4 linked regions of the Sus scrofa genome follow. The protein of the gene in region 4 interacts with the protein of the main gene of each other region in a biochemical or structural test. Links are inferred from orthologs where the notes say so. Each region holds a gene or a part of one and is shown on either strand. Other genes may lie near its edges.

The links. The genes of interacting proteins can lie anywhere in the genome.
Region 1: of the proteins of FBXO7 (region 4) and UXT, one has a biochemical effect on the other in vitro, tested with the Homo sapiens proteins (2 studies listed by BioGRID). The link is inferred for Sus scrofa from reciprocal best matches to the Homo sapiens genes FBXO7 and UXT.
Region 2: the proteins of FBXO7 (region 4) and CDC34 form a complex in vitro, tested with the Homo sapiens proteins (2 studies listed by BioGRID, with this or other methods). The link is inferred for Sus scrofa from reciprocal best matches to the Homo sapiens genes FBXO7 and CDC34.
Region 3: the proteins of FBXO7 (region 4) and PINK1 form a complex in vitro, tested with the Homo sapiens proteins (2 studies listed by BioGRID, with this or other methods). The link is inferred for Sus scrofa from reciprocal best matches to the Homo sapiens genes FBXO7 and PINK1.

What each region holds. Positions count from the first base shown.
Region 1 is NC_010461.5:42,174,046-42,179,521, forward strand, and holds the end of UXT (protein UXT), read right to left. Parts: intron 2,470-5,476; coding exon 2,406-2,469; intron 2,193-2,405; coding exon 2,142-2,192; 3' UTR 2,097-2,141; downstream 1-2,096. UniProt on the Homo sapiens protein: Involved in gene transcription regulation. Acts in concert with the corepressor URI1 to regulate androgen receptor AR-mediated transcription. Together with URI1, associates with chromatin to the NKX3-1 promoter region.
Region 2 is NC_010444.4:77,759,491-77,766,467, forward strand, and holds the end of CDC34 (ubiquitin-conjugating enzyme E2 R1), read right to left. Parts: intron 5,905-6,977; coding exon 5,818-5,904; intron 5,726-5,817; coding exon 5,628-5,725; intron 5,145-5,627; coding exon 5,010-5,144; intron 3,001-5,009; coding exon 2,793-3,000; 3' UTR 2,097-2,792; downstream 1-2,096. Other genes in the region: GZMM (granzyme M precursor), read right to left, coding at 272-341. UniProt on the Homo sapiens protein: E2 ubiquitin-conjugating enzyme that accepts ubiquitin from an E1 ubiquitin-activating protein, and catalyzes its covalent attachment to other proteins by an E3 ubiquitin-protein ligase complex. In vitro catalyzes 'Lys-48'-linked polyubiquitination.
Region 3 is NC_010448.4:78,875,560-78,881,790, reverse strand, and holds part of PINK1 (serine/threonine-protein kinase PINK1, mitochondrial), read right to left. Parts: intron 4,790-6,231; coding exon 4,689-4,789; intron 2,466-4,688; coding exon 2,283-2,465; intron 1,804-2,282; coding exon 1,640-1,803; intron 435-1,639; coding exon 307-434; intron 1-306. UniProt on the Homo sapiens protein: Serine/threonine-protein kinase which acts as a sensor of mitochondrial damage and protects against mitochondrial dysfunction during cellular stress.
Region 4 is NC_010447.5:12,511,366-12,517,596, reverse strand, and holds part of FBXO7 (F-box only protein 7), read left to right. Parts: intron 1-1,718; coding exon 1,719-1,946; intron 1,947-3,495; coding exon 3,496-3,637; intron 3,638-5,908; coding exon 5,909-5,992; intron 5,993-6,231. UniProt on the Homo sapiens protein: Substrate recognition component of a SCF (SKP1-CUL1-F-box protein) E3 ubiquitin-protein ligase complex which mediates the ubiquitination and subsequent proteasomal degradation of target proteins and plays a role in several biological processes such as cell cycle, cell proliferation, or maintenance of chromosome stability.

The sequences.
Region 1 (5,476 bases), on a different chromosome or scaffold from region 4:
AATGGGGAGATATAAAGGTCTAAACTAACCCACTATTCAAAGCAAGGGAGAAGCCCAGGCACTGGAGTGACAGTCTACAAAAAAGGGAGGATAGGGTGATGGGCTGATATGCAGGGGGACATGAATACAAGCATGTAGACTGATCCACTGTAAAAATGGTGTGTGTGTGTGTGTGTGTGTGTGTGTGTGTTAAAGCCATGGATTGATGCACTGGGGGACTGGAGGCAGGAATACAAATTCACAGGTTAACTCCCTGTTAAGGGGGGGGGTACAACGCCACGGAGTGACTCACAAGGAAGAGTAGGGATGGGAAAAACAAGGCCACAGACGGGGGCCGCTGAAACTTGAGGACCTGAGAAATACAAACACTCAGACGGACCTACTGTCAAAGAGTTAGACGCTGCCAGAGAACGGCACCCTCCAAGCCGGGGTTGGGGGGCAAGACCACGGACGAGTCTACTGTAAGGGGGGGTGGGGAGAAATACAAGCACTAAGACCGATCCATTTTAAAACAGGAAGGGGGGATTAGGCCACGGTCAGATCCACTACAAGGGGCGAAGGGACGGGACGATGCCACAGGCAGGTCCACCAGCCGTGGCGGTGGCAGTGAGGAGCCGAACACCAGAAGGCCATGGGCCAAGCCACATCCCCCGGCGCGGGGGCGGGAAGGATACGTGGGGTCAGGGACCGGGCCCTCAACCCTCCAGGCCCCGGGCTCACCTGTGCGTAGCGCTGCGGTGGTGTTGGCAGCTCCGGGGGGCGGGGGCTCCATGCGCGGCCCCACCGCCCCCCAGGCCCGGGATCCGAGGCGGCGGTGGCGGCGGCGGTGGCGGCGGCGGCGGCGGCGGCAGCGGCGGCGGCGGCAGCACCTAGAAGCCGCCCCTGCGTTTCCCCACCGCTCACGTGGGCCCGTAAAGGAGGAGCTGAGCTTTCAGCCGCTCGCTGATTGGTCAAAGCGCCACGGATCGACCGCGCGGCTTCCAGGGTTGGGGAGGCGGACCCTGCCCCATAGGGCCTTGCTGGGATTGGCCCTAGGGGAACTGACGGAACGCAGCCGGCCTCCTGGGTTCCGAGGGGGCGTGCTCGGCCCCGCCGACGCTCACCGCTGATTGGCTCAGGAGAGACTGCTAGGCCGTGGGCGATTGACAAGGTTCCGGGGGTGCCTGCCTCGCAGTGATTGGCCTATATGAGATTGATGGAAGACGGCCAGCCTCCGAGGATAGAAGTGGTTAGGCTCTGCTTCCTGCTGATTGGCGGGCGATGGACGCCTAGACAGCTGCCAAAACACCAATGGGCGGTGCCGAACTCCACGCAGCCCAGCGGAAGCAGGACTTGTATAGAAGTACACAGGCTAGCAGCCCCGCTGGGAGGAGGTCTGACCAGGGATCTGCGGAGGCGGGCAGGCTAACTCTGTGGCGATTGGCTAGAAAAGACGAATTTAGAACGAAGCAGAGGAAGGAGGGCAGGACAGCTGCCAGACGTGCGAAGGAGTGTTGAGTGGTGGAAACGAAATGCCTACAAGGGCAGGGTCGAGCTGCAGCCAGTAATAAAGGGGTGGAACCTGGCTCTGTATCGATTGGCGGAAGCTGGATTCAGCCTAGAATGAGGACCGGACCAGGGAGGGCGGGCGAGATCGGCCCTGCGCCCATTGCTGGAGCTGTAACTATTTAGAAGCTGGGACAAGGCCAAGGTTGGGCCTAGACGGGCGTGGGTGTAATTTAAGTTACCTGAGGAACGATTGGAGTGTGGGAGAAGGGTAAACTTTAGGGCCAGGAGTGAAAGGTTGATTGCCTTAGGGAACAAACCGCCACCCTGAATCGGCCCGTTCTCTATGGTTAATTCAAGCAGTAGTGCACAGGAAAGGAAATAGAAAGAAGGGTCAGGTGGGGGCCCAGGTTGCCAAGGCGATGGTAGAGAGGGCAGAGCGGAAAGTCAGGTGGCACATTCTGCCAGGAAACAGGCTGGAGGCGGCACTTCAGTGGTGCTTTAAAGATTCTACACAGACTGGATCTCTGCGCCTCCCAGTAACATTGTGCTTTAGAAACGGCACTTTAGCCAACAGCAGAAGTTAATGGGGGAAAGAAGGGCCACGTGACTCAAAGACATTCAGGCTCTTTAATGTCAAGGGAGGTAGGAAGAAGTCAGTGGCGAGGCTCGGGGAAATTCTGCAGACCTTGTAGTTCTCTAAGCCCCTGAAAAAGAGAACAGAAGAGATTGAACGGAGACTGGGTCCAGGCCCCACCTCAGGCTTGCTTGGAACTCCCTTCCCTCAGAGCCAGCCTGGTTCCTGTCTGACTCATTTGGAGGGAAAGATGGCCCTTCCCATCTCTGGCTCTCTCCCTTCCTCAGGACACCACCCTAAATATTTGGAGATAGAGTCTGGGAGTGGGGTGAGCTGCTCTCACCTCTAGCAACATGTGGATATGGGCCTTGATATTCATGGAGTCCTTGGTGAGGCTGTCGCTGAGCCTGGAGAAAAGAAACGAGAAAGGGCGAGGTGGGCCCCACTTAGGATCCGTGAGGATGATGTGCCCTCACCGCTTCAAGAACCGCCTAAGTCCTGGATGACTTCCACACGGCAGGTGGTGGGACCCCTACTACCTGGCCTGCTCCTAGGCAGACATGCCTGGCCGCCATCTGCACTACACTGATTCCAAGACCTTTACTGAATGCCTACTCTATGCCAGGTTGTTTTAGGTACTGGGGAGATAGCAGCAGACATAGCAAACGAAAATCTCGGCCTCTTGGAGCTCAGATTCTCATTAAGGGGGACAGATGATGGAGTAAAATATGGAGTATGTCAGATGGTTAAAATTATAATGAAAAAAAAATTAAATGAGAGAGGATATGGGAGTACAGGAGTGGGGGCTGGAATTCGAATTAGGGTGCTTAGGGATGGCCTCACTGAGAAGCGTTTGAGTAGAGACTTAAAACAAAGAAGCGAGTCATGTGGACATATGGAGGATGTGTGTTCCAGGCACAAGGGGTGGAGAGTGCAAAGGCTCTGAGGTGGGCGCGTACCTGGCATGTCTGAGGCCCAGCGAAGAGGCCAGTGTGGCTGGAGAAGAAAAAGTGAAGTGGGGAGGTAGAGGAGGCGAGGTCACGGAGGTAAGTGGGGGAGATAGTTCGTGTAAAATCTACCAGGCCATGGTGAGGACTCTGGCTTTGACTCTAAGTGGGATGGGAGCAAGGGGAGTATTGTGATCAGAGAAGGGAGGTCAAATGACTAGGGTTTCAGAGGATCCATCTGGCTGCTGTGTGGAGAACCGACTGGGGATAAGGACAGCTGGTGTGGAAGAGGAAGGCCACTGCAGAGGCTGTCGGAATCGTCCAGGTGAGAGATGCAGACTCGGACCGCAGTGGCAGCGGTTGAGGGGATGAGAAATGATTGGAGCTGGGATACTTCTTTGAAGGTAGAGTCAATAGGATTTACCAAAGGAGGATGTTGGATGCAAGAGAGAGAGGACTCAAGGAAGACACCAAGGCTTAAAGCAACTGGAAAGCGGGACCACTCTGGCTCTGGGCTGTTGAGCTACGCCAACCAGCCCATTCCTACCTCCTGACATCTAAGCCAACTGCGACCAGGCTCACCCAAAAGAAGCCTAAGTGATGCAAAGGATAAAAGAAGGCCTTTCTGAAGAATGAGTAAGAGTTAAACAGGACAGTCTTTCACAAGAAGTCCGAGAGGCCGGAAAGAGCTTCTAGAGGAGCAATCAGGAGGCCAGTGTTAGAAAGTAAGTGAATGGTGGAAGGAAAGTGGCACAAGATCCAAGAGGTAGGCAAGGGCTAGATCATGCACGGTCTTGATATCCTGATAAGGAAGGTGGATTCTATTGTGCCGAGTTATCCTGTCAACGTAAGAGTCAGTTTTGGGGAAACTAAATACTGTTAAGAAAAGTAGAAGGCAACGACATAGGATGTTAAATTGGAAAAAAAAAAAAGAGTGTAAACTCATTTATGTATCACTATCTCCCCCCAGTTTTTCTATTTTGGCTCCCCCGCAGCATATGGAGTTCTGGGTTAGGCATCAGATCCAAGCCACAGCTGCTATCTATGCTGCAGCTGCAGCAACACTGGATCCTTTAACCCGCTGTGCCGGGCTGGGTATCGAACCTGCAGCCTGGTGCTGCAGAGATGTGGCCGATCCTGCTGCACCACAGCAGGAACTCCACTATCTCCCAAATTTGTATTTTCTTCTTTGGCTGGGGTGGGGGCATGCAGAGGTTCCCCGGCCAGGGATAGAACCTGTGCCACAGTGGCAACCCGAGCCACAGTGGTGACAACACCAGGTCCTTAAATACCAGGCCGCCAGGGAACTCCCCAAATTTATATTTTCAGTCCAGCCCTCTCCCCCGAACTCCAGCCTTGGGAGTTTTAATTACATCTTCAGAAAATCTACTTCATTGTTTAATAAGCATCTTACACTTACTAGGTCCTAGACTGAACTCCTGATCTTGCCCTCCAATTCCGCTCTTTCACTGTCTTCTCCATCTCAGAAAACGGCAATTCCATTCTCCTAGCTGCTCAGCTCCAAACCTAGACTCCGCTTTTTTTTTTCCTCACATCCCATATCCAATCAGGCATTCTGTTTAAAACTGCAACTGGGAGTTCCCTTTGTGGCTCAGCAGTTGACGAACCCAACTAGGATCCATGGGGATGCAGGTTCAATCCCTGGCCTCGCTCAGTGGGTTAAGGATCCGGCATTGCTGTGAGCTGTGGTGTAGGTTGCAGACTTGGCTCGGATCTGGCGTGGCTGTCGCTGTGGCATAGGCCGGCAGCTATAGTTTTGATTTGACCCCAGCCTTGGAACTTCCATATACCTCGGGTGTGGCCCTAAAAAAAAAAAAAAGGCAAAAAAACCCACAAAAAACTGCACTGTCCCATCAGGCAATGTGTCCAATCTCCAATCTGTGCTGTTCTCTGCAGCACCATCAACCTGTGACATACTACTGCCTTTACTGATTTGTTTATGGTCTGTCTCCCCTGACTAGAATGTAAGCTGTGTAAGGGGAGAGATTTGGTGTGCTTTGTTCCTAGCATGTATCCTCAGGAACCAGAACAATATGTGGCATATAGTAGGGACCCAATGTATGTTGAATGAATAAGTGAATGACCACTTCACTCACAGGAACCTGAAGTCCTCAGAAGAAAATAAATGGAGCAGGCTGTTGTTGCCAGACAGCAAGGATGCTTTCTTTTTTTTTCTTTTCTTTTTTTTTTTTTTTTTTTTGGCCTTTTTAGGGCCACACATGTGGCATATGGAGGTTCCCGGGCTAGGGGTTGAATCGGAGTTGTAGCTGCCAGCCTACACCACAACCATAGCAATGCCAGATCTGAGCCGCATCTGTGACCTACACCACAGCTTACGGCAACACCAGATCCTTAACCCACTGAGCGAGGCCAGGGATCGAACCTGCAACCTCATGGGTAATAGTCAGATTCGTTTCCACTGAGCCACGAAGCAAACCCCGAGGAT
Region 2 (6,977 bases), on a different chromosome or scaffold from region 4:
AAATATCCCAGTAAACGGGGGAAGGGATTCTCACAGATGTCAGAAAAGAGCCCCGGGGACGGCAGGTTAGTTCTTGGCTTTTCCTGCAGTCTTGTGAGGCTGCTGTAGGGTAAGCACCTTGTGCTTTGGGGGGAGCTGACATCTCTTCAGTGGGTCCCCTTCTGAGGACAAGGGAGTTGTTCCAATCTCTGTTCCAACAACCAGTGCTCTGCCTCCCACCCAAGGACTCTGGGTCCCAAAGCCTCAGGCCTGGGTTCCCAGCCCTGCTCACCTGCCTGCAGGACCAGCAGCAGCAGCAGCAGCAGCGGTGGTGGCTGCAGTGAGGAGCTGGCAGCCTCCATGGTGCAGGGGAGTCTGAAGAGGTGCTGTCTGGGCCCCCGCTGAACAAAACCATCCTTCCTGTGGGGGAGGTGACATTCACACCCCTCACTGGTTCCATTTCATCCAGAATGTGTTTTTGAGACACATGGGCTCTCCAAAGACAAAACCCCATCACCACTGTTGCACCTGAAAAATGTACAAGAATTTCTCATTATCATCTGGTATTTCGTCGTGTTCAAGCCCCTCATCTCATATGTGGTGTTTTGTGGGTTCAATGGGATAATTTCCTTGCTCCTTTATCTTTTTGTGGCAAAACACACAACCATACATTTACCATCCTAACCACTTTTTTTTTCTTTTTAGTGTTGCACGTGTGGCATGTGCAAGTTCCCAGGCTAGGAGCCGAATCAGAGCTGCAGATGCCAGCCTATACCACAGCCACAGCAATGTGGGATCTGAGCCATGTCTGCGACTGCATCTCACAACACCGGATCCTTAACCCACTGAGCAAGGCCAGGGATCGAACCCACATCCTCATGGATACTAGTTGGGTTCTTAACCTGCTGAGCCGCAATGGGAACTCTGAAACTCTCCCCTTTAAACACTGACTCCCCAGCTCCTCCCCCAGCCCCTGACCCACCATCTACTTCCTGTCTCTGTGGGTCTGACTCCTCCAGGGATCTCCTGGGAGTTGAATCACTCTTTGTCCTTCTGTCTTTCCATGTCTGGCTTCTCTCATTGAGCATCATGTCCTCAGGTCCATCCACATTGGAGCTGGTGTCAGGATGTCCTTCCTTTTTAAGGCTGAATCATATTCCTTTGTATGGATGGACCAATTTGTCCATCATCTGTCCACGGATACCTGGGGTCTTCTAGTCTTTGGCTATTATGAACAAAGGTGGTATGAACTTTCCTGTGTTATTACCTGGCAAATCCCAGGGTCCAAGCCAGGCTCAGAGGCAGGGAGCACTGTGATGATGTCTGCCCTGGGCTAGGCAGGGAGGGTGCAGGTATTCATGACCCCAGGAAGTAGGCTCCATTGGTATTGGGGGAGGGGTGATCACACAGGAAACAATAATAGAGGGTGCCTGCTTACATTAGAGTTTCACACAGACAAGTAATTTTGCAGTAGAGTTATGTCCAGAAAACTTCATGGGATAACCTAGCAGTAAAAGCCGTTTACCTGAAACCCAACCCAAGGCTGAGGCCCAGAGCTGGGAGTGTTGGGACTCCAAGGCCTCAAATACCAGTGGGGTGTGTGTGCACCAGCTGGGGGGTTTTACACCCAGCTCCCACCCTTGGATAGCCCTGTGGAGGGCAGGTCTGTATTCCCTCCCCCAGGGGCTGGGGGCTGGCACCTGCTTCCACCTGTCCCACGTATGAAAGTGGTGCCATGTGACCCTGAAGGTGGTGGGGACGAGCTGTTCCTAAGCCCTCATCCTGGATCCTCAGGCAGGTCACCTAGGTGGTAGAGTAGAGACAAGCCAGCCCTATGTCCCTGTGCCCCCAACATGCACAAATCAAGCACAATGAGGGGTGAACGCTGAGTCTGGGGTGGTCTCTGACGCAGCAGTGGAAGCGGGGATGGGGAGCAGGGGTCCAAGTAGAGCAGAGGGGCTGGACTGGAGGTGTGAGGGTGATGGTAGGTGGGGTGGGGTGACTCCAGGACAGAGGGCAACCATCTTCTGCAAGTGGCCAGACACTCTGTTGCAACTGCTCAGTTCTGAGGCTGTGGCTCAAAAGCAACCAGATAGAGATGAAGAAGTGGGTGGGGCTTTGTTCCAATAAAATTTTTATTTACAAAACAGGCAGAGCTGGGGGGTGGGTCTGGCTGCTGAGGACTCCAGGGTCTCTCATTGCAAACTGGCAGCTCTGGGATGCTCAGTAGGCGACACCAACCCCGGGGATGCGGGGGGAGGAGGCTGCAGGCAACTGGTGGGACCCCCAGGACCCCTGCAGCTCTAAGACCACACCTGTAGGCAGCTGGGGCTTCCTTTCATAACCAGCTCCCTCCTGCCCAGATCCCAGATCAGCAACCAACAGAAATCCTCAGGGAACTTCCAGGCCTCCCTGCCCGCCAGGCTCAAAGGGGTGCTGCCCGCCGTGGTCACACACACATGGGCACAGGCCATGCGCCCGGACCCCGAGGTCCTCTGGCTTCTCATAAAGTCGCTTTATTTAGATTCCAAACAAACCAAAGCAGAGCGAAGAGTGACCCCAAGTTACTCGTCTACTCGAGCTGGGACCCCGAATCTCTGGCTCCAGCCAGCAGGATGGGTAGGCAGCTGGGGTCCACAGGCCCAGCTCCAGCAGCGGGTGGACGAGATGGAAGCAGAGGACCAGGGAGGGGCCTGGGGATGGCCGGGGGCCGCGCACCGCCGGGAGGTAGTCACAGCGGCAAGAGGCGCCGAGAGCCCACACAGTCGGGCGGCTGAGGTAAAATTTGTAAGTTTATTCGTGGGGATGCAGTGTCAGGACTCCTCGGTGCCCGAGTCATCCTCGTCGTCCCCAAAGCAGCTGTCGGCCTCGGCCTCGCCGTCCTCGTAGTAGTCATCGTAGAAGAGGTCCGAGCCCTCGTCGGGCACCGGGGCCTTGGTCTTCACGCAGTACTCGGCCAGCGTAGTGGGCACCTTCACGCCGTCCCGCTCTGCGTCCACCTTGGTCCCCAGGACCTGCTTCCTAGAGGGAGACGGGGGAGTCAGCTGGTCCTGTCCGGCCTCAGGGACTGGCCTGCAGGGACTGGGCACAGCTCTGGGGCCAAACAGGTGCCCCCCCCACCACCACCACCCGGTGGCTTGGGGGGACCACCCACCTTGGCCCCTCATGTGCTCCACATGGAAAACTGCCAGCAGCCTGGGGGTGGGGGTGGGGCAGCCACACTACAGGCGCATGGCCCCAGGGTGCTGCGACCAGAGAACCAGCAGACAGGCCAGCCCCATGGGAGGAAGCCTGAAATGGACAGACCAGGACACCGGGGACGCCCAGGACAGCCAGAGACTGATCCCTAGTGAAGCCCATGCCTGTCTGCAGGAGCTTGGGTTGCAGTCCTGCTCAGGCAGCACGTGGGACAGCCAGGGTGGCCTGAACTAAAGGACATGGGCTGCTCAATGATAGGCTTGTTAGGAAGACCAGGTCCCCAGGTGGGCAAGGGGGGAGCAGCCCCAGGAGAGGGCATGGCGGATCCCTCAGCAAACCCACAGTGTGCTCAGAACATCCCACCAGGGTTTTAACTTAAGCATCTTCCCAGCCAGCAGGATGTCTCTGCACCAGCTTCCTGTCCAGAGTTTCATCAACGCAGCAGCACCACTGAAGGCCAACAGCCCTGAGCCTGAGCTCTGCCCGTGTGGTTGCACAGCCAACTCCAGAGACAGGGGTCCACAGGCCTGCACATACGGCTCAGGCTCACCCTCTGAAGGTGCACATAGCAGGTAAATGTGGGCATGGGTGCAGGTGGGTCGTCATGTAGACCCATGTCTGACTTACTCACCTTCTACAAAGTAAATGCTTTCTACAGATTAAGGGACAGACTGAAAACCTAATTGGAATAGGCTTAACAAAGGGTTTAAGTTTGTCACAAAACAAGTCACAAGCAGAAGTTCCTGCTGCAGCTCAGCAGTAAAGAGCCTGACTTAAAAAAAAAAAAAAAAAGAGAGAGAGAGAGCCTGACTAGTATCCATGAGGACACAGGCTCGATCCCTGGCCTCACTCAGTGGGTTAAAGGATCACGCATTGCAGTGAGCTGCAGTGTAGGCTGCAGACTCGACTCAGATCCGGCATTGCCGCAGCTGCGGCATAGGCTGGCAGCTATCTCCAATTCGACCAGGGAATTTCCATGTGCCACAGGTGTGACCCTAAACAGCAAAAAAAAAAAAAAAAACCAACCCCCAAAAAAACCCCAAAACACAAAAACCAAGTCACAAGCTCCAGGAGGACAAGCGACAAAGGAAAATGGTCAGCACAGCTCACAAGACACAACACAACAGGGAAGATAGGAAGTCCCTTGGGGCATCGCTGGGGCAGGCCTCTTGTGCTCTGGGCCCCATACCCAGCCAAGCACCCATGGTTCAGGGAATGTTTGCACAGATGCCTCTGTGAGGATGGCTACCTGCTTCGTCACAGCAGGGACAGGAGACAATGAAAATGAGGGACAGTTAACCCTGGCAAGTTCCTAAGTAACGCACTGCTTCTATAACCAAGAAAAAACTGTTTTTCATGAAAGAAAGTATTTCCTAAACATGCTGATATCACATGGCTTTGTTCCCTTTTGCAAGTGGAAGTGACATTCACAGCTATAAGGTGAAAAAATAGATCACACAAAGCACACATGGAAAACACACTCCTGGAGGAGAGCAGCAGAGGCCACAGGCTCACAGACCTACTCTTGGGGGCGAGCATGAGGGGTACACGCAGGTGGAGGGGGGAGGGAGACACACACAGGCAGACTGGCAGGATCTCTGCCCTTTCTGTCACAAAGCAAAGGAACATGGCAAGACCCCCTGCTGAAATTCAGTGGTCACAGGATATTTATCTCTGTGCCCGTGTGAGGTATACACATGCACACACTCTGCGGTGCACATGGCACAGCCATGCTCGACGTGGACCACACACTCCCAGAACTGGAACGCCTCAAGGTGCGCAAGAGGAAGAGAAGCAAGGGTTCTCCAGAGAGTGGAGGGAGCAGGGCTCACCGGATGATGTCCGTGTACTCCCGGTCCCTGCCTTTGCTCTCTTTCCACTTCCTGTACATCACCGAGGCATCCACGTTGGCAGGTGAAAAGGTGTTCGGTTCGTTGAGGAGGGAGATGACGCTCAGGAGGATGGTCCTGGGGAGCAGGAGTCAGTGTGAGGGGTGTTCTCCGCCCAGCCAGCCTGTCAGGGGCATGTTCTCCTGGGAGCCTCACACCCTGAACCATGCTCCACCCCCCACCTCCCAAGCTCCTCAGACAAGATCTGAGGGAAGCCAATGCCAGAATCACCTTCCTTGCACTGAAGTAGGCCTGTCCCCCTCCCCAAGGCATCATCCTGCCTGGAGAGGGGGTCCCCTTATGCCACCCACTTTTGCTGCGGTCTGGGCCGGAAAAGACATGCAGCAGGAGGCAGGGTGCCCAGGCCTCTGGGGGTGAGCAGTCTGTCTGTGGACGAGGGGCTGTGATCATGGGCTGGAGGAAGACGGGGAGACCCCAGGGCAGGCAGATGAAGACGTGGAATTCCCAGAGCCATTCCTGAGGTGGGTGGGGCAGGGGTGTCAGGCAGAAGGTGGGGTCCCACGTTGCTACCACCAGCCTCTGAGCACCCAAGGACCTCACCTGACATTCTGGGTGGGGTTCCACCGCTCCGAGGGCAGCTCCCCACTCTGAGGGTCGTCAACCGGAGGATGGAGAATGGAGATGCACACGTCCCCAGTCTGCATGGTACAGGAGGGGGTCAGTGCCTGCAGCTCCAGATCTCACCCATAGCACCCCCTCCCACCCACCCCAATACAGGGGACCAGCTCACCTCATAGATGTTGGGGTGCCACATCTTGGTCAGGAACCGAAAGGCTGGTGGGGAGTAAGGGTAGTCAATGGGGAACTTGAGGCGCGCCTGGTGGGAGGCAGAGAGCATGGGCTCAGTAGGGCCAGAGCAGGCTGGCCAGGGACCTCGCTGGCCGGCCACAGCTCACACAAACCTGGGGCTTTTTTGGGGTCACCAGAGCTGTCCCCGGTCCCTGCCTGCTGCTGGGGGGCATGGGCACTGCCAGGGAGTAGCTCCAGTCCTGTGGGCCTGGGGGAGGGGCGGGCACATGCCAGCAGGGGCCTGGGCCTCAGCTTCCAGCTTGTGGGGGGATTAAAATAGCCGCGTGTTCACCGGGCAGTCATCCCCACACCTCCCTGGGCAGGCGCCCGCCGTGGGCGGACATGAGTCAGCGCTGGGCGGAGAGGCTCTCTACCCAAAGGTGTCGGTCCTGGCGGGGGGGTCAGGAAGGCGGACAGGAAGGTCACGGGGCAGATGGGGGAGGGCCCTATGGGTGAAAGCTGTGCCTTGGCTTCAGCCTATTTAAGCCCTAGTCCCAGGATCTGGTGGTGCTTCAGGCTCTCAGAGGCCAGGCAGCATACTAGGGGCCACACTGGATACACTGCTGTAGGTCCTTCAACCCATCTGTGGAGAACTGCTCTCCTATGCTGGAGACACAAGGGAAGTCCCTCTGCCAGCCTGGAACTCAAGCCTCAGACTCTGCCCTGGGGTCTCCGAAGCCCAGTGCTGGGTTTCTAAGTGACAGCCCAAGACCAACTGAAGCTTCCTTAGCAAGGCAGGGTGACAGGCCTCCCCTGACTAAGCACCTAGCACCCACCAAGTCCCAGGGTGCCTTTATTGCTGTGCAAACTGCAGCTCAGAAAAGGAGAGCACTTTGCCTGAGGGCACAGAACTCTGGAGGGGCTCCCAAACTTGGGTTTCCAGGGCATGCCTTCATCACCTGCTGCCCAGGACCCTCTGGCTCATATGGGGAAGTGGGTGAGGCCTGGAAAACTCAGAGGAGGAGGCTGGGAAGCGATGGTGGACCCCCTGGCACTTCCAGCCCCTGCTATTTCTGCATCTTTTGGGACACGAGGATCAGAGACCACCGTGGGTCCCAAGCTGGCCTGAGGACAGATGCTATAGCAGGCAGATGAGAAATG
Region 3 (6,231 bases), on a different chromosome or scaffold from region 4:
ACGGGGAAGCAGTCACTGCGCTGGTATTTCCAGCCTCTTCACACCCCAGCACGGCACTTGAATCGCAGGCTCAGCTCCACCGTGTCCCAAGGAACCGAGAATTTGAGAAATCACAGCTCAGGTCTCAGAGAATCCGAGTAGGCTGCCTACTCGGGGCTAACGCAACGCACTGGGAACGTCAGACAAAAAAAGGCAGGGAAGGGACGTCGCCAAATTATGGGTCAGAAAAGAGCAAGTGCTGAGTACACGGAGGAATCCTGGTGGGAGGGGCCCTGCTGATGGCACCTGACACTCGGCAGGACTCACCTCAGGAGCCATCAGGCAGCCGTTTCCGCCGCGGTCCACGTACCAGCTGGTGAAAGGCAGCTGCAGGCCCACGCGCTCATCGGCCAGGCAGCAGCCGAAGTCTGCGATCACCAACCAGGGGCAGCCGTCTGCGGAGGGAAAGTGTCTGCAGAGGTCAGCGGCCCAGCCTCCCCCCTCCCACTGCCCCCAGGCCCACCTGTGTCTCCACTAAAGCCACCCTGAGGGCGTGGGCCACAGGGCTCGCAGGGACTCCGTGCTGACGCAGGAGCGCAGGCCAGCAAGGCCTGGACATGGGCCAGCCACACCAGTACGGGTGTGCCTCCAGGAAATCAAAAATACCCAAGCAAAGAACTGGATAAGGAGTTCCCATTGTGGCGCAGCGGAAACGAATCTGACTAGGAACCATGAGGTAGTGGGTTTGATCCCTGGTCTGGCTCAGTGGGTTAAGGATCTAGTGTTGCCATGAGCTGTGGTGTAGGTCGCAGGCGTGGCTTGGATCTGGCGTTGCTGTGGCTAGTGGCAACAGTTCCAATTAGACCACTAGCCTGGGAACCTCCATATGCCACAGGTGCGGCCCTAAAAAGGACAAAAGCAAAAAAAAAAAAACCACTTGGATAAAATTTGTCTCCATCTAAGTAATCTAGTAATTGGAGTTCCCTCAAGACCAAAGGAGCAGCTCTTGATGTTCTCATCATGTGGTACTGGCTCAAATGACCTCCAAGGAGTCTTTGCTTTGACCTTGAAACCTCAAATTCAAACCTAATAGGTGCATTATAAATTAGTTATTTGGAAAGGGACTCATATGGACTTCCTTTTAAAAACCAGCTCCTCTAGAATTCAACTGAATATCTAATTATTTGAAAGCTTCAAGTTCAAAACTGACCAGCTGTCTTGACTCTTTCACAGGCTCCCCAAGCAAGTGACCCATCCAGCTTCACCTGAGTGCGTCCGGAGATGGGGAGCTCACTGCCACAGGCAGCTGGGCTCGTGTTCAAAGAGCCCTCACTGTTTGAGGATCCTTTCTTACGTTAAGCTAAAGTCTACCTCTCTTTCACTTTATTCAAGAAAACGTCTACCACTGAGGTGTTTGTTCTGAAGAGGGCCAGTGAAAAGACCTTGGGAACTATTAACCCCCCCCCCCCCCCGGTGAGTCCCCCAGAGAACACAGGGCTCCACCCTGAAGGAGGGCGTGCTTGTCTCTTGTGTCCAGAGCTAAGTGAAGACACAACAACTCAGAACGTAAAAAACCACAAAAGCCCCAAGGCTCCCAGATGTCCCCAGGCCTAAAGCCCGGTGCGCCCCAGACATCCTGGAGGTGCAGGGGGGCGCCCACCTGCATCCAGCTCCACAAGGATGTTGTCAGACTTCAGGTCTCTGTGAGCGACGCCCTGCTGGACCAGGTGATCCACCCCTTCCAGGAGCTGCAGCGTCATCACAGTGGCGAGGCGTGGGCTTGGGGTGTTCCCGCGAAGGTACTGGCGCAGCGTACAGGGGTAGCTGGAGGAAAGGGCGACAGGGCCTCTGGCTACCGCGCATCAGGGATTGAGCACCTTATTTCCTATTGGGATGAGACCCTCCTCTTGGTCCTGAAACTCTTGACTTCTTTTTTCCCCAAACACCCTTTCTGTTCCCGCCCTCCATCTTGGACTCAGGAAGAGCTGGGGCCTCACATGTGAGCCTGTCTCCTTAAAACACCCACATGGCAATGCCAGGGGCACAGAGGGAGGAAGAACAGCCTGTGTTAAAACACCAGGTGAGGCAGGCACCCAAAGCACTAGGCAAAAGTACGTTCTGACTGAAGATGCCTTTCTGTTACCGTGAAAAGTCCTTCTAAAGGGAAGTGCCCTCTAGGGCAGACACGCATCCTCAGCACAGCCCAATCCCCCAGAGGGCAAGCATCCTCTTCCCTGCGACCCCGGGCTCCACGTGCGCCAAGGTGGAGAGCAGCTCCTGTCATGCCAGGCCCTGCCACTTACTTCTTCATGACGAGGAAGAGTGTCCGCCCATGGCCCAGGCCTTCGGGGTGAAGACGTGGGGGCAGCACATCGGGGTAGTCAACCAGAGCCCCTGGCAACAGCGGCACAGACGAGGTGAAGGCACGGAAGACCCGGATGATGTTGGGGTGAGGGGCCAGCTGCTTGGGACCGCTCCTGGATTTTCTGTTACCCAGTGGGACAAACATGAGGCCGGCGGCAGATAAGACACTTGGAAATATAGTCAATCTAAGACCACGATGAAGACTGCCATTCAGTTAACCACCTAGTTATTTATATCAAACATGTGCCGGAAAGAAAATGACTCTGCACATCTGGTGACTCCATTAGTCCGCCCACCGCCCATCCACGCCAAGCACAGTGTGGGAGACCCTGGAGTCAGACCGCATCCCACGTCTGCCTCTCCAAACCCTTGGCCAAGTTGCTTAACTTGTCTGGGCTCAATCTCAAATGCCAAAAGGGGAATAAGGTAGCAACACACCTCATCGGGTTGTTCATACTTGTAAAGGACCTGGAAACTCCCTGATTCCAAGTTCTAACAGCACCTGGCACAAAGTATGGGCTCAACAAAGTTTTGCGTTGAACCGATACAGATGCCGTTCACAGTAGACATGGGACCTGCTGCCCTGCCCACCCCTCTGCCCCTCCAATCTGGGACCCCATGACCGCCTGCTGTGTCTCAGCCCTGCCCCCTTGCCCAGAGCTGCTTGGATTAAGGGTGGGTGCCTGACCCAAGGGCAACGAGCCTGCAGTCACGGTGGTTGGCAGGAAAAGGGGAGGGGTGCCGGTTAGAGTGCCTCCTTGGGGAGTGTGAATGAAGAAATGGGGCGGAAGCTGGGTAGTCCCCCAGTGGAACTGAAGATGAAAGGATGCCATGAGGCCCGAGGAAGCCAGGGGTGTAGCCGTGAGTAATAAGGACACTGGGTGGCAGAGAGAGGAGGATGGAGCAGAAGCCCAGAGACAGCACAACGACCCAGAGAGCTCAACACCCGCCCTGAGTTGCCTCAGTCCTGAGCTTTGCAGCCAGTCCACGCATGGCCTCCACCGCTCCTCTGGAGTCCCCGCAGATGGGCCCTGTTCTATGCGATCAAAGGGATCGAGGCATCTTTCCCAGCCCCAGGCCACTGGGGCCCATGGAGAATCAGAATCAAGGCATGCTGGACTTTGTTCCTGACTTTTTTTTTTTTTTTTTTTTGGTCTTTTTGCCTTTTCTAGGGCCGCTTCCTGCAGCATATGGAGGTTCCCAGGCTAGGGGTCGAATCGGAGCTGTAGCTGCCGGCCCACACCACAGCCACAGCAATGCCAGATCTGAGCTGCGTCTGCAACCTACACCACAGTCATGGCAACGCAGGATCGTTAACCCACTGAGCAAGGCCAGGGATCGAACCCGCAACCTCGTGGTTCCTAGTCGGATTCGTCAACCACCGTGCCACGACGGGAACTCCATGTTCCCGACTCCTTAGGCTTCTCTGCTACACAGAGGGCTCCTGAACTGGAGCCAGCCTATGCCACAGCAATGGAGGATCCCCAACCCATTGAGCGAGGTCAGGGATTGAACCCACAACCTCATGGTTCCTAGTCGGATTCGTTTCCGCTGCACCACAACGGGAACTCCCGTTTGTTTATTTATTTATTTATTTAAAGCTATACCGATGGCATGTGGAAGTTCCAGGGCCAGGGATCAAACCCGTGCCGAAGTTGATCCAGGCAACACTGGATCCTTAACCTGCTGTGCCACAAGGGAACTCCCCCCACCCTTTTAAATCTCCTGGCACGAGTTCCTGTCATGGCTCAGCAGTAACAAATCTGACTAGTATCCAGGAGGAGGCAGGTTCGATCCCTGGCTTTGCTCAGTGGGTTAAGGATCTGGCATTGCCGTGAGCTGTGGTGTAGGTAGCAGACACAGCCAGATCTGGCATAGCTGTGGCTGTGGTGTAGGCTAGTAGCTACAGCTTTGATTTGATCCCTAGCCTGGGAACCTCCATGTGCCCCAGGTACGGTCCTAAAAAGCAAAAAAATCTCCTGGCACCATCAGGTCACTGCAGCTATTAGTGAAGTGAGTGTTACCTCCAAGGGGAAGGGTTCAGCTTGCACAGAAAGGTGGTGCTCCACCTGGGCGTTACTTAGGGGTCAGAACTCAGATCAATTTCCCATTGTTCTGAACTGGGTGTTTTGAGGTGGCTTCCTCTCCCTGCTCCAGTGTCAGCCACCTGCATCTTCAGTTAGAAATCAGACCATCCACACTCTTTCCCAGTTATCCACCAACTGAAAATCCATCACTGACTACATCATTCAGTGAGCACGTCTGATCTACTGCGTGTCGTGTCGGACACTGCGCTGAGGGCACAGGTGAGGATTCTGCTCTATGTGGGGGCAGGTGGAGCTTACCTGTGAGGGACTGCTCCATACTCCCCGGCCAAGGCCACCCGACTGGCTGGGACGAGCTCCTGGCTCATTGTACTGAGGATGGCTTCGCTGGACGAGCCCGCCTGGAACACATCCATAGTGGATCCTGGGTTACACAGGCCCCAATAAGTCCAGGCCCTCCTTGTAGTGTGGACCAGGACAGTTATTGCCTAGAATCGGCTTTGACCTTCAAGCGAAGATAAGCTCTCTGAAGGGGCAAGCCAAGCCTAGTTTCTCCTGGGAGAGAGGGCAGAGGTGCACACTTCCCACACCTCAACCCTGCACAGCTCGGGTGCCCAGGGCAGGAAGAGATGTCAAGAAGGCTGGACATGGACCCTTCTTCCTGTCCCAGATGGCTCGGTCACCACCAGGCTTGAAACTGACCACTGAGCACTAACACCTGCCCTTGCAGACAGGCCGAGCCCGACGAGCCGACCCTGGATAAACTCTGAATCACAAACAGCACTCCCTACCATTAGAACAAACAAACAAAAAAACCCAGAAACCAGTGACAAGGGAAAGCACCTTATTCTCATTACGAAGCGTTCTTAGGACCTGGTGAAACCTGTTAACCCTTTAAGCATCAAAGCTTTCAGCTTTTTTTTCTTTTTGGTCTTTTTAGGGTTGCATTTGCAGCATATGGAGGTTCCCAAGCTAGGGGTCATATCAGAGCTGGAGCCTCTGGCCTATGCCACAGCAACAGCCACACCAGATCTGAGCCACATCTGCAACCTACACCACAGCTCGTGGTAACGCCAGATCCCTAATCCACTGAGCAAGGCCAGGGATTGAATCCGTGTCCTCATCGAACCCGATGTCCTAGTTGGGTCGTTAACCACTGAGCCACAATAGGAACTCCAAGACTTTTAGCTTTTGTGAATGTATTTGCTGTCATGCCCCAATCAGTGGAAGTTTTGATGCAAGACTGGATGTTTCCAAGCAAAGGATTTGGCTACTTGTCAGCTATTAAGCCAGCTTGGAAGTACAGTCTAATAAACTTCATTCCCCAAATGAAAACATGAACCCAAATTCTTCGGGGTCTGCCTGAGGTGCATGGCTGTGTCCCTCCCAGCCCTGGAAAGCAGCTCTGGGCAGCAGAAAGCACATCAGATCCTGATGAATTTCCTAACACCCCACCCCCCCACCCCACTTGTGATAATGGCAAGGTAAAGAAATTATTCTAAGTGGACAGTTATCTCTGCTCTTGAGTGGGAAAAATTCAATTTCCCAAAGTCTTGAGTTCTGCAAGAGTTGAGAGCAGGGAGGTGACGAGCCAGCCTTCGGTCTGGGAGGCGAGTTTAGAGGAAGGCATGTGGCCCCTCCTCCCAGGGCGGCAGGTGGAGGGAGAGGAGCCCTGAAATGAACCCTTCAGCACTTGGTCCTCAGCGTGGTTCACAACCCAGCAGCATAGGCATCACCTGGGAGCTTGTTAGGGAGGCAGAATCTCAGGCTCCACCCCCCACCAGCTGGTCAGAATCTGCCTCAAACCTGAGCCCCCAGCAAGTCGTGGACACATTACAATTTG
Region 4 (6,231 bases):
TGAATTTTAAAAGAAGAAACATGTGCTTTGCATTAGGAGTTGAGCACATACCTCGGAAACAGTCTTTCTGAGCAAAATTAGCATAGGTAACTCAGTCTTACTGAAGCAGTATATTATGTCTAAAAACCCTGAACCGTGAGTCTGGAGATCTTGGTTCATTTCAAATTTTTATTAACTGGTTACCTTGATTATGTTATTTAATCCAAATAAAAATTACGGCATATGTAAAAAGGCGACATCTGTCTTGTGCCTGTTTTACGGAATTTTTGTGTGGTGCAAATTAGAAAACACTGAAGAAAATTGTAAGATATTATCTTTAGCATTTATTCAACAAGCATTTATTGAGTACCTACTGTGCCAGGTACTGTGCTGGTGTTAAAAAATGGGTGACATGTCGTCTGTCTAATAAGCTTGTGGTCAAGGTGAGGTATTGGTGTGTAATCAGAAAGTTGGAACGCAGTGTGATAAAGTGCAATAATCAAGGCCTGTGCAAGGCAGAGAGGGGCTCTGTATTACCTGAAGAGGTGGGGATGGGGGGAAGGGAGTGCAGAACGTGAATTTGATACAGAGTTAGGGATCCGGTGAAGAAGGGCTTTGTATGCTAAGGAGTTTAGGAGTTTGGCCTTTATTTTGTAGCACTGCATTTCTCAGCGTGTCCTCTATGAAAAGCTTGTCTCCTAAGATTATAAGTAAGTGTTATGGGGATGCTAAGTGTACAGGAAGGAAGATAGTGTTTCTTGGTTAAATGTTATGCACACTTTCTATTTTTACTGGACTTCTCAGAGCTTCATAATACCAACATGTATTTTGTGAATATACAGGGTGAGGTTAGGTGGCTGTGACACGTAGCATTTTCCAAACTTGTTTGATCATAGACCTCTGTTTTCCTAAGATCACTCGGGGTCACATTGCCCCAAGGCAGTGCTGTCTGCACTGGGGAAATACTGGCAAGCTTAGGCTGAGCCATAGGATGTAATTGGATTCTCAATGGTTGAAAACCCCTGGCAGCTGTGGGGGAAATGTATTGGAAGACAAGAAAGTGGAGTTAAGGGATACTTAAGAAGCTACTGCTGGAGGCTAGGAGAGAAAGTCTGAAATGCACTGGAGTAGGAAGGGGCAAATTGCAGGGATATTTAGGAGGTAGATTCCGAGGAGTTTTGAAGACTGATCAGAGGCGGGTGGGGTTTAGCAAGGTCATCGAGGAGGGAGTCTAGGATGATTTCCAGGTTTTTAGCCTGGTTTTCTGGTTACCAGGCAGAATTAATGGAGATGAGTTCAGGACGGAGGAGCAGATTCCTGGCTCATTTGTTTAGGGGGCTCGCTTGAAATGTGTACCATTTCAGAACCCACTGCCATGCTTTGGCTCTGAACACTAATCTCACTTTACTTAGGATACAAAATATTGGAGTTCCCGTCATGACTCAGCAGTTAACGAATCCAACTAGGAACCAGGAGGACGAGGGTTCGATCCCTGGCCTTGCTCAGTGGGTTAAGGATCTGGCGTTGCCAGGAGCTGTGGTGTAGATCGCAGATGTGGCTCAGATCCCGTGCTTCTGTGGCTGTGGGTAGGCCGGCAGGTCTAGCTCTGATTCGACCCCTAGCCTGGGAACCTCCATATACCGCCTGCGGGTGTGGCCCTAAAAAAGACTATATATATATATGTGGAAAAAAAATGAAAGTCTATTTAATGAATTCATTGTTTTTGTTATCCTTTTCAGTCAGGGCCTAGTCAAAATTCTGAAGCCGAGCCGGATCAAGATGTTGTGGATATGGAAGAGGGCACAGGTTTCTATCCCTCAGAACCAATGCTCTGTAGCGAATCGGTGGAAGGGCAAGTGCCGCATTCATTAGAGACCCTGTACCAGTCAGCTGACTGTTCCAGCCCCAGCGATGCTCTGATAGTGTCGATACATCTGCTCATGTTGGAGTCGGGTTACATGCCTCAGGTAAGACTATAAGCAGAAAACAAGCATCCTGTTAGGGTTTAGGTTTCCTATTAGCAAAGGGGTGGTGTTCTAGATTTCTCTATTAAATGTGTCTGGGTATTAATGTAAAGTGCCACACAAAACGATGGGCATTCAGTAGGCAGTCAGTAAATGCGCCCTTCCCTCTTTTCCTTCTTTTTTCCTCTTTCATTTCCTCGTCAGCTTTTAATTAGTATTATAGAATTGATGACAATTATGATTTAAAAAACCCCAAAAGATGATATGTAATCATATGTAGATAAAATATGGTCAGTGCATGTGGATTGGGCAGGACTAGATAGGTGCTGACTGGGTTATTTTTCGTTAGTGGCTCTATGAATTGCCAGTAACGGAACAGGATTCAGTTAGGAAGAGGGATGTTTTTCTTTTCCTGGAGTTGCTTATAGTCATTCATTCATTCCTTATGCATTTGGTAAGTATCTACCAATGTCAGGTGCAGTGCTTTGTTTCTGCTGTCAGGTTGCTTACAGTCTAAGAGCAGGAAAGACAAGTATACAAACCATTTTACTGTATTGGCTAAATTGTAGCAGAAACATCTACGTATATAGGATGCCAGAGATTCACAGAGGAGGGTGGAGCCTGGGATACCGTGTGAGCACATTCCACCTAATAGCTGTGCTGCTGGCCTGTGGGCTTGGTGATCAGTAGCAGGGACATGGACTAACTCACTGACCATTGAACATGCACTCCATGCCGTGCCCTGAGCCAGGAAGCAGAACATAAAGATATCAGGACAGTGCTTGTCCTCAAGGAATCCCCAAGTGGGAGACAGAAACAAATAAAAAGCAAACAACATTGTATTATAACTAACAGTAGAAGTATCTAACAATAGAAGTATGATTGGAATGTTAGAGGGTGAAAAAGAGTGGGAATGATAGAAACCAGGCTTTGTTTTGAAAAAGGCTTCACAAAGGGAATGGTATTTGTGCTGGGGTCTTGAGTGATGATCTCTCTGGCTTTGCTAGGCAGACAAGCAAGACTTTGTCAGGAGGAATCAGTCTATCTCGATGTTATTTTATGTTATGTCATATTATGCTTTATGTTATTTTTTTCTAGGGCTGCACCTGAGGCTTATGGAGGTTCCCAGGCTAGGGGTCAAATTGGAGCTGCAGCTGCCGGCATACACCACAGCCACAGCAACGTTGGATACAAGCTGCGTCTGCGACCTACACCACAGCACATGGCAACACTGGATCCTTAACCCACGAGCAAAGCCAGGGATCAAACCCAAGTCCTCATAGATACCAGTCGGGTTTGTTAACCGCTGAGCCACGACGGGAACTCCTCTGATGTTACTTTATCTATTTGAACAAGAATTTTGATGGTGGATAATGTAATATTTTTTCTCTCAAGGTATTATTAGTAGAAGTATTAAGGTTTGATAGATTTTTGATTAAAGGGACTGTATGGAATGCTTGTTTGTCGACGAGTTAGGGGCCTCTTGGATTTTTAATCTTTTCAGCAGTACTATGTTCTTCATTATTTGTTTCCCTTTCATGTCATTCCCCAGGGGACTGAAGCCAGAGCCGTGTCCATGCCCGAGAACTGGAGGTCAGGGGGCGTGTATAAGCTGCAGTACACGCATCCTCTCTGTGAGGGCGGCTCTGCTGCTCTCACCTGTGTGCCTTTGGGAAACCTCATCGTCATAAACGGTAATCGGATGCCTCGTCCTGGTCGTTAGTTTATGAATCCTCACGTGTTTCTCTCCAAACATTTTATAGCCACTTTGGGAATTGGCTGTCGTGATAGGAGGCTTCCTCAGCTTTGCTTAATCCTGAGACCACTGATAACATGGGCCTGAAAGGCTAAAGAATATGGGCTGATGGTTATGCCAGCAGTCCTCACTCTTGGGGCAGCGATACGTTTTTGCTGTCTTAACTTTGCAATTTTTTGCTCCAGGAGGGAGTTGTGATAACAGGAGTGAGATGAGTCTAGTACCTATGAACTCTCTGAAGAATGCTTTTTCTTTATGCCTGTGGATGGCTTTTTTATTTTTGTTTTTCTAAGCAAGGTCTTGAACTGAGAGATAGTGAGAGGTGAGACTGAGCCGGGGTCACTTTTTATCCAGTTTGGATCTCTGAGTGCATAGAAGTACCGCTGAGGGTTTTGAGGCCTCAGTATGTGTGTGTTTTATCCCCTGACCTCCCCTCGCCACCCACCAAGGTCACTCTGAATAGAATTTCTTTTTCTGGTTCTCTCTCACACTAGGAAATTTTGCTGGATAGCAATACATTCCATTTTTGTGTTTCATTTTAGCTCAGATGCCTCCCAGAGACCTATACCAGCTCCCAAGGGTCTGCAGAATAATTTCATAATCACACATCCTGGAGATCCATTTTAGTGACTCAACTCTTTTGTTGTATTTTGACTTTTGAGGTTTACCCTTTAGAGAGTATGGTATGATAGGAATGACTGCATTTTTATTTTTCATTACCTCTCATCTTTTGTACAGCAGGGACAGTTGCTTCGCTGTGCCTCAGCTCAGTGGTTTTCAACATGTTCTGCAGGTACTAGCTTCTGCTGAGATGGAAGCAAGGAGGAGGCTTAGCCAAGCCCCTGTCATTTCTTAAACTTGGAGCAGTAACATGTCTGTCTGTCTTGTTTAGTGAGGTCCCTTGTAAAATCTTGTTTAAAAAATGTTTTTTTCTGCCAAAGTTTATTTGAAAGCCACTGACTTCCATTGATTTGATCTTTGAAATGTAGTTCTAAGGTCCCCTTTTATATAAATTCTTCTATTTCTTTTTAATCACTAGATTCTTTGAAAAAAAATTTTTTTTTGGCTGCCCCAGTGGCACGTGAAAGTTTCCCGGCCAGGGGTGGAGCCTGCACCATAGCTGTAACCAGAGCCACAGCAGTGACAACGCTGGATCCCTAAACCCACTGAGCCATGAAGGAGCTCTGACATGTTACTGAAAAATCTCAGATTTTCAGCTCTAACATCTTTGGTGGTATTCCACATTTGTTAGGACATGACATCTTGATGGCACAACGATCTTCGAAGTCTCTTCAGCAACTCGTCACCGTTAGCAGACGGGACGTTTAGTTGGGCAGTCTTTTCCCCAGAGGCTCAGCAGGATCTAATCATGCTGCTCATCACTTACCACTTGCAGGGTTGCAGTTATCAGTTAGTGAATGTGATTTCTGCCTGTGTTTCATAAAAACATTTTAACAACACATGTCTATTAACCTGTATTTACTAGTTTTAAGATGCTTAACATAGAGAAGACCTGCTAAATGTCTTGGTTTCTGATTTTTGTTCTTTCACTAATTCTTGGCAACTCAGCTCCTTGTGGACTTGCATGGCAGACAGCCATTCCAGAACCATTCCAGGCGTGGTTCTTTGAAAAGGAGCAGTGTGTCCTGAAATCTTTGCTTCACCTGAGACATCCTGCTCGGTGCACACGTGCACCAGCCCGTCACTGGCTCTTTCCTGGAATGATACGAAGTGCGCCTTTGTATATAGGATTAAAAAATGAACTCTCTGGTGATATCAAGAATATTGGTCCTCTGGGTCTAGAGAGGGATGCTACTGTGAAAACCAGCAGGATTCCTTTAATAAACAGGGGAAGACTCATTGCCAAGGAAGGGTTAAATAAAAAATAGATGGAGTTTTTAGTGACCGCGTTAGACATAATGACTGAATTGTGTTTAACTGTCTCCTGTTACCCTTGCTGCATATGTTCAGTTACTAATAAGGTGCTGTTGGTGATACTTGGTGATACCGTAGTGGTGTTTTTGAGTGATTTTACTTAATGTGACGTAGGTTTGCACTTTGCCGTGAGGGAAGGAAATAAGCATAGAGAAGTGCTTTTGGGTCATGTGTCCTTCGTATACCGGGGCAAGGACATGCGGGTCCATACTAAAAAGTGAAGGCAATTAATGAACTGACAAAACTTTCCCATCTTTCTTTTGCTTATTTACAGCTACCCTAAAACTCAACAGTGAGATTAGAAGTGTGAAAAGACTGCAGCTGCTGCCAGAATCTTTTATTTGCAAAGAGGAATCAGGTAGTATAACCATGACTTAACTTTTGGAATGAAGCTTTGAGAGGCTCACTTGAAAAAACAAAACAAAACAAAACAAAATAGGGCAGTAGTGTTCCAAAGACCCAAAATTTCTGAATGAGATTAAAGCAGATTCAAAACAGTGTTGCCAAGTTTTAGTTTCTTTCCCTTTTTTCTTAGGGTCTTGGATGCTGAAGTATATTTATACTTCCATATGGAATGATACTAATATTTAATACAGC